Linked DNA regions of Danio rerio. The protein of the gene in region 1 interacts with the protein of each later gene in a biochemical or structural test. Links are inferred from orthologs where the notes say so. Each region holds a gene or a part of one and is shown on either strand. Other genes may lie near its edges.

Evidence for each region.
Region 2: the proteins of hip1 (region 1) and cltb form a complex in vitro, tested with the Homo sapiens proteins (2 studies listed by BioGRID, with this or other methods). The link is inferred for Danio rerio from reciprocal best matches to the Homo sapiens genes HIP1 and CLTB.

What each region holds. Positions count from the first base shown.
Region 1 is NC_133190.1:19,379,063-19,382,894, forward strand, and holds part of hip1 (huntingtin-interacting protein 1), read right to left. Parts: intron 3,132-3,832; coding exon 3,024-3,131; intron 387-3,023; coding exon 250-386; intron 1-249. UniProt on the Homo sapiens protein: Plays a role in clathrin-mediated endocytosis and trafficking. Involved in regulating AMPA receptor trafficking in the central nervous system in an NMDA-dependent manner. Regulates presynaptic nerve terminal activity.
Region 2 is NC_133189.1:56,170,442-56,174,959, forward strand, and holds the start of cltb (clathrin light chain B), read right to left. Parts: upstream 3,074-4,518; 5' UTR 2,852-3,073; coding exon 2,671-2,851; intron 1-2,670. UniProt on the Homo sapiens protein: Clathrin is the major protein of the polyhedral coat of coated pits and vesicles.

The DNA.
Region 1 (3,832 bases):
TAAAATGGTTCTTTCTGCTAATTACATTCTAACATTTCTTTTTAATCTATCGAAGATTTATTTTCATTACTTTGTGCCTTTATTTAGACTGAGCAAGACAGACTGGCAAAAAGTGAGCGGAAAAAAATGGGGCTGAAATGAGGAAAGACCCCCAAGCAGATACTCAAATGCCCAAAACATATCAGAGCCCTGCCAACATTGCTGTTCAATCAACTGTTTTCTTAAACTAAAACCCAGACTGACTCTCACCTCGCCCAAGGCCTTGACAGAATCTAGTGCCGTCCTCAGCCGACTACAGTCTGCCGCCCCCATAGACTCCTGCTCCTTGAGCTGGCAGAGCAGCGTCAGGGCCTCTGCGCCACACGCCTTCACGCTGTCTGCCAATGCTGCCCACAGACAAAAAGCAGAAAGCAGTCAGACTAGCCATCTGTCACCTGCAGACACTCCACATACGCTCCAACAGACACATTTGCTGCAATGAATGACATGATTGCATTGTGCACGTGGGCACAGCACATTAGTCGCTTTGAGTTATGCCATGCTCTTTAAAAGCAACTTGAAACCAAACCCCCAGACCCCCGGCGGCCAGTTATTAACAGAACCACAATGATTGGAATGACCCTTGTGATGTATGGAGAGCAACTTAAACAAAGTCAGTTTCTTGGACGTCTCTACGTGATAATACAGTGCGGTTTTAAAATATTTAGCATTTTAATTTTAGTGAGTGCAATTATGCTACTTATATCAAAAGGGTAGTTGACATAGCTCAAATGTGCTACAAGTATCATTTTGATAATAGACCTACACAAATTCTCACAACACATGCAAATACAGAAACATGCTGCAAATAGTACAGACCACAATAGAAATGTGTTGGGAGACCCCAAAAACTGACAAACTCAGCAGTTTTGTCATGAGTGTTGTCTTTAGATCTGAGAGGTGAGTTAATTCGTCAGATTACTAGAGCAAGCCAATAGACCTTTTTCTTAGAACGCAAAATTTCCCATTATGCTTTGCGTGTATGCGTAAGGAGGATGCTTGATGCGTAATGATCGCTTTGAAACGATAGTTTTAATCTACTTTACTTGCTTTGAACACTTTTGAACTGATACTGCTGTTGATCGGCGCCACCTCCTGGACTGATTATTTAAAAAATGAGATCCAATGGGATGGAAAACTGCTGCTAATCATTTACCCTTACCGCCAGATGGCATCTTGAGCTATTGAAATGGAGCCTTGTCATCGCAAAAGTGATCATTTTCAAATTTATAACAAACTCAAACAAATGTAATTCACCAAAATGTTGGACACACACACACACATACTTTCCCATTAACATATTGATTAAAAGACTATCACAAAGTAAAAATAAATTTTGAAATGACAGAAAAATACATACCATGGTAAATACTTGGGGTGTCAAAATAATTGTGTCTTTGGTGTGATGCAGATAAGGACAATTTGGTATGGTTCAGTAATGATCATAACTGGTTATTATGTACATCATTTATGAACATCATTTATCTCATATGCGCCATGTCGCCGTAGCTTACTATGGCGAGGGAGGCAAGCGCGAGTATTTAAAATGCTCCAACTTCTTAAAAACGCAGAAACTGTGCACAATTTCACTGCATGTGTGTTTGCTGGACATTCTTCCACTGACACTTACAGCAGAAGCCCCTATTTCACTGTGAATGAGAGAATGAAAGTAAACTCCATTTTACCTAGGTAACCTAACAAACCTACTTAAGCCTTTAAATGTTCCTTTAAGCTGTATCGAAGTGTCTTGAAAAATATATAGTAAAATAATATGTACAGTCAGTCATCATGGTAAAGATAAAATAAATCAGTTATTAGTAATGTTATAATAAAATAAATCAGTTATTAGAAAGATAAAATAAATCAGTTATTAGAGATAGTTATTAAAACTATTATGTGTTTAGAAAAGTGTTGACGACACTTTTCAGTACTTTAGACACTTAACAGCAAATTACACAGTTTTTCTAGCTTGAATGGATTCTGAGCTTATTTTTTAATAGCAGATGCTGCTGTATGCTTTACGAACAACCATACTCAGCTTGCATTCAGTTCCTTACAAATACCACTTAAACCTTTGCTAACTTAATGAATAATTATTTTTGGTTCAAGTGAATTACAAGTGTGTTTGAAGTTAGCTGTTTACGTTAACACCTGACATAAAAAAACAACTTTCTGAGAGCTTTTCATGAGAATTTCAGTGTATGATTAATGTTATAATTAAAAAACTAGCCTAGAAAGCCATCTGCTGTTAAAAACTAAGTACAGGTCCAAAAAAAAAATCGCTAAGTTTTTACCATTACTATGATATAGAATAGGGGAGATTTCAGACAGGAAAGCATTGGGAGCAGAGAGGGGAAGGATCGGCAAAGGACCTTGAGCTGGGAATCAAACTAGGGTCACCGGCATGAGCACTCTGCTATATACTGTATGTCAGAACACAGTACCTCTAAGCTATTGGCGCCAACCCAAATTCGATTTCTCAAAACTATTTTTCACCACAGCTTTATAAACAACACAAACATACTGTAAAGTTGACCAAACGTTACTCAGGCATAATCCCACGATGTGTGTTTAAATATTTTTGTTTAGCTGACCACCAAATGTTTACTACTTAAATTGACATTGCACTGGACTACCCACATGTAGATGTTTTACAATGGACAAATGCAGAAAAATATACGATGACATCATGAAAGGAGACTTCGTCGTTTACGACCAAGCAAATGATTACAGTAAATCCCACATAGACATGTGATGCTGTAATTTTTGCAAATATTGCTCAATGAAAGACTCGTCAAAGATATGAATGATGCAGTTCTACTCTATAGGTACTCGAGATTAACATGAGCTAGGCAGATACTGCCCTTTATATATTTTCGATAAAGCATTTGCATATAAATATGCATTCGTTTTGCATTTTGATGTGATTACATGATGTAAACCTGAATAGGAAGGTGTTGAAATGATAAATGTGTCATGCTCACCGTCAGCTTGCTCCACTGGCACCATGTGGGAGGTGGCGCTGCCCTGCACGATGACATCGCCCACCAGGTGAGCAAACTGAGTCACTGCCCGCACCAGTCCAGACACATCTGTTACACACAGACAGGAAAATCAGTGTTACAACAGGATCATATGAGCGTTTCTCATCTCAATTGAGGAATTAAGTGTCAACAAAAGTGATGAAACGAAGTCTGAATGCATTCATGGTGCTCAGGGCTTTACTGGTAAAGGATTTAGTTGTATATTTTTGAGCTAAATACAAAGCAAAAACAGGGAGTAGGAAAGTTTTCAGTAGTTGATGATAGCATGGCTGTTTTCAAAACTGTGTGGATTGTTCAATTTTTCAGATGTGTTAACTATTTTTCCCAACAGTCAGTGGCGTAACATTGCAAAATAACACATCATATATGTGTCACTATATGTATTGCACACCCTTACCAGCATAGGAGCTCAGACAACAGCCAGACTGTTTAGGACCACTTACTGATTCAGAACGTTTGTTTCATGATACACTTTGCTCAGACTGAGTGTAAAATTATCATTTAAACAATACTAAGGCCTAAAATGCTTTGGTTAGCAGTTTACAGCTTTTTTCTTTTTTTACAAAAATTGTCTGTGTTTTGGTAAAGTGTCTTTTACTGGGAAAAAAAAGCTTTTAAGCTATTATTAAATGACACCACCTTAAATTAGATTACTTTTTGTGCCATATCCTTTATATTTAAATCATTACCATGGTATGTATGAGTATGTTTATGTGTATATATATATATATATATATATATATATATAT
Region 2 (4,518 bases), on another chromosome or scaffold:
TCATAATAATAACTAATACACTGTAGAAAATCCTGGTTGCCTTAAGTTTGTACGCTGAATCAAATTAACCTCATGAATCCATTGAACTTATATTATGTTAAACTGACTTAAAACAGCTTGTGCAACTTGTAAATTTAAGTTAGAAGATGATTAACTTAGTTTAATAAGTTACAATGACTTAAAACACATGCAGTCAGGATCGAAAAACAAATTACAATTTAGGATTTATGTAAAATTGCAGTTTGTAATGTAATATTTTTTGTCTTCTAGTCAATTTTCATTCATTCATTCATTTTCTTTCTGGCTTACTCCCTTTATTAATCAGGGGTCGCCACAGCGGAATGAACCGCCAACTTATCCAGCATATGTTTTATGCAGTGGATGCCCTTCCAGCTGCATCCCATCACTGGAAAACATCCACACACACTCAATCACATACATACACTACGGACAATTTAGTTTATCCAATGCACCTATAGTGTGTTTGGACTGTGGGGGAAACCGGAGCACCCGGAGGAAACCCACGGCAACACTGGGAGAACATGCAAACTGACCCAAAATGTCAACTGACCCAGCCGAGGCTCGAACCAGCGACCTTCTTGCTGTGAGGCGATCATGCTACCCACAGCACCACCATGCAGCCCTCTAGTCAATATATATGTATATATGAAATACTTGCTTTGTTTACAAGACAAGTGGATCTAAGTGGATTTGCATTAAAAAAGTTTTAAATGTTTATTTTTTTTTACTTGCATGTTTTAAGTGTTTAGTTAAAGCATAAATCTGCACTTTATTTATTTAGTTATTTATTTTTTACAAATTCTGTTATTTAGTGTTTTGAAGATATTAGGTTTGATTTTGTTTTTGCTATTTTAAGTTTTGTGTTATTTATTTTGCTCCTTTATTTTTATGCAAGTACAAATGTCATTTTTTGCAATTTTCTATATTTAGCAATGCGACTCTTATTTAGAAGAGGATGAGTGATAATATTTAATTTCATTAATTTTTTTTATTTTATTAGGGCTGCTAACTTTTTTAGAGTTTATTTATTTTCTTTATTTATTTTAAATTAAATGTTTCCTTTTTTCTGAAAAAAAGTTTTAATGGTGACGCAGTGGCGCAGTAGGTAGTGCTGTCGCCTCACAGCGAGAAGTTCGCTGGTTCGAGCCTCGGCTGGGTCAGTTGGCGTTTCTGTGACAAAATAAAGGTACTGAAAGTACTGCTGTAAGTTACTAGTACTATGGGAAAGTGGCTGTATACAGTAGTGATATCATAGATTTTTAATATAATATAATATACTTTTTAGATAAAATACCATAGGAAAAAGTTATTTTAACCAAAAATACTGTATCGATTCTTTTTACTAATCATTGTCAATACCATGAACACTAAGAAGTGATTTGAACTTCATTTATTACACATTCATGCACCTGGTACATAACAGTACTGCTACATATACGGAACAGACACTGTATTATACCTTATAATATGCACTAATTAGAGCTGTAAACGAGTGAAACTGAAAGTACTGTTGTTCTAGTACTATGGTAAAGTGGCGGTATCTGGTGGTGATACCATAGTATTTCAATATAATAGAATAGAATATTCATTAAAAAAATCCTTTCAATGAAGTATCTATATTTTTTGCAAGGAATTGTCAAATACCATGATATACACATTTTAGTAAGTGATTTTTACTCATTTATTACACATTAATGTACCTGGTTCTTCAAAAAAAAAAAAACATGGTACATTACACTACTGCTACTTGTACGAAAGCACACTGTTATACTTTTTGTGTGCATTTAAGTACTCAGTAATAACAATGGTGATTCATATTATCAGTTACACATAATTTGTGAGATTAATATTAAACAAGGACACAAAATAAAGTTACTGAAAGTAAGTACTGCAGTTACTAGTACTATGGTAAAGTTGCAATAATCAGTGGTAATACCATAGTATTATAATAGAATATATTATAATATAATATACTTATTCTAAAAATACCATGGAAAAATAATTTATTATAAACAAAAACACTATTCTTTTTACAATACCATGGTAACTAACATTATAAGAAGTGATTTATACTCATTATTACTCATTTATGTATTTGGTTCTGCAAAAATACCATGGTATGTTACAGTAACGTTACCGCTACTTTATCGCAAGTAGCCTAATCTGTGTTATAGTTTTTGTGTGCATTTAAGTACCGAGTAATAACGATGATGATTTATATTATTAGTTGTGCATAATTTGTAATATTTATATTAAACAAAGTCACAAAATAGTTACTGAAAGTACTGCTGTAAGTTACTAGTACTATGGTAAAGTGGCAGTATTCAGTGGTGATACCATAGTATTTCAATATAATATAAAATAATATAATATAATATATACTTTTTGAAAATATACCATGGGAAAAAGTTATTTAAAACTAAAATACTGTGTTTTTTTACAATACTATGGTAACTCACATTTTAAGAAGTGATTGATACTCATTTATTACACATTTACGTACCTGGTTCTCCAAAAATACCATGGTACATTACACTACTGCTACTTATACATAACAGGCACTCTGTACTATACTTTATACACAATATAAAGCGGTAATACGTGAGCACGGGTGTGTGTTTGCGGCCGCCGGGACTCGCGCTGGCTCACCGCCGGACATGGTGTAGGTGTCTGCGGGCGCCGCTCCTCCGTCCTCCGGTAAACTGAACCCAGTGCTGTCGTTCTCAATCACCGCGATTTCATTCTCCTGCTGGGCCAGAAAGGCGGCGGCGGGATCTTCTTCTGTATGAACTCCGTTGTCGAAGGCGGAAAAACCGAAGTCGTCAGCCATGTTTGATAAAGTAACACCGGCTTCCGTAAAAAAGCTACGCTAAAACACTCCAGCTGTTTTCTTCTTCAGCCAGTTCACAAGTCGATTAGCTGATAAAGGGTGAACTTAGACTGGTCTGAACGTTGTAGACTTATTTAAAGTATTTATTTCACTTTTTTACTGACAGCGGTTGAATGACGCACAGCTCAAACGTTAGTAGGGAGTGCTAGAACAAAAATCTGTAATATCAATATTGAGCGCATAGTTAGGTGATGATTTGTGGCGTTTTGTCCCCATCTGCCGGACAGAGTGTGTAGTGCAGCAGAGTTGGATTTAAAGGGACAGTTCACACAAAATTAACTTTTATTCTGTTGCGCATAAAGCAAGATATTCTGAAGAGTGTTGAAAAGCAATCTGTACTTATCTTTTTAATCAAACTTTCACATATTTTCCCATGTGCTTTTAATTTCAAATAATTTATTAAGGGTGACATGGTGGTTTAGTGGTTAGCACTGTGGCTTCATAGGAAGAAGGTCGCTGGTTTGAGTCCTGGCTGGGCCAGTTGGCATTTCTGTGTGGAGTTTGCATGTTCTCCACATGTTGCCTTAGGTCTCCTCTGAGTGCTCCAGCTTCCCCCACAGTCTAAACACATGCACTATTGGGGAATTGATTAACTAAACTGGCCGTATAGTGTATGAGTGTGTGTGTGAATGAGTGTGTATGGGTGTTTTTCCAGTAATGGGTTGCAGCTGGAAGGGCATTCTCTGCATAATAAGCATATGCTGGATACGTTGGCGGTTCATTCCGCTGTGGCGACCCCTAATAAATTAAGGGACCGAAGGAAAATGAATGCATAAGGATTTTTACTTATTAATTGTTTTGCTTTGCTTAATCTGTATTATTAATGTTTTTCATGACTCTTTTTTAACTCTGTATAGCACTTAAGCCAACTGAAGTTGAATTTAAATGTGCTATATAAATAAGGTCAAATTTGCATTCAGCGTCTGGTGTGAACACAGCATAACAGGTAATAATCTTCGAAGCAATATCGTGCATATTAAGGAAGTTGCACCCAGTGGTGGAAAGAGTATGTAAAAAGCATACTTAACTAATACTTAAGTAAAAAAAAAGCATACTTAAGTAAAAGTACCATTACTTGCCTAAAAATGTAGTGTGAGTAGAGTAAAAGTACCTGTCGTAAATATTACTCAAAGTAGGAGTAAACAGTAGCCCTTTTAAAAGTGAGTATTACGCTGTTAAAAGTTGATGCATTTACATGTAATTCGTGGATGTGTGTAAACGTAACATTCTGTAGTGCATATATTTATTGCCCAGCAGGCACACAACGTTATAAGACGTTAATAGGTTTGATTTAGGTTGTAATGTCAGGTGACCAAAATTCTATGTCTAGCCAGCGTCTAAGGACATTATTTTCATGTCCAATAATGACATCAAATGACGTTGATATTTGGTTGATTTTAGGTTGTTAGAAAGTGACCAAAATCCAATGTAGAGCCGACATCTTAAATCAACATCCTATTGACGTCAAATACTGACATTTATTCATCAGTTATGGCAACCAAAATTCAACGTCTGATAGACGTCATAGTGGTAACGTCGACACAACGTCAAGCTGTAACATCATTAGACGTTGATATTTGGTTGGTTTGAGGTTGGACGTTGGACAT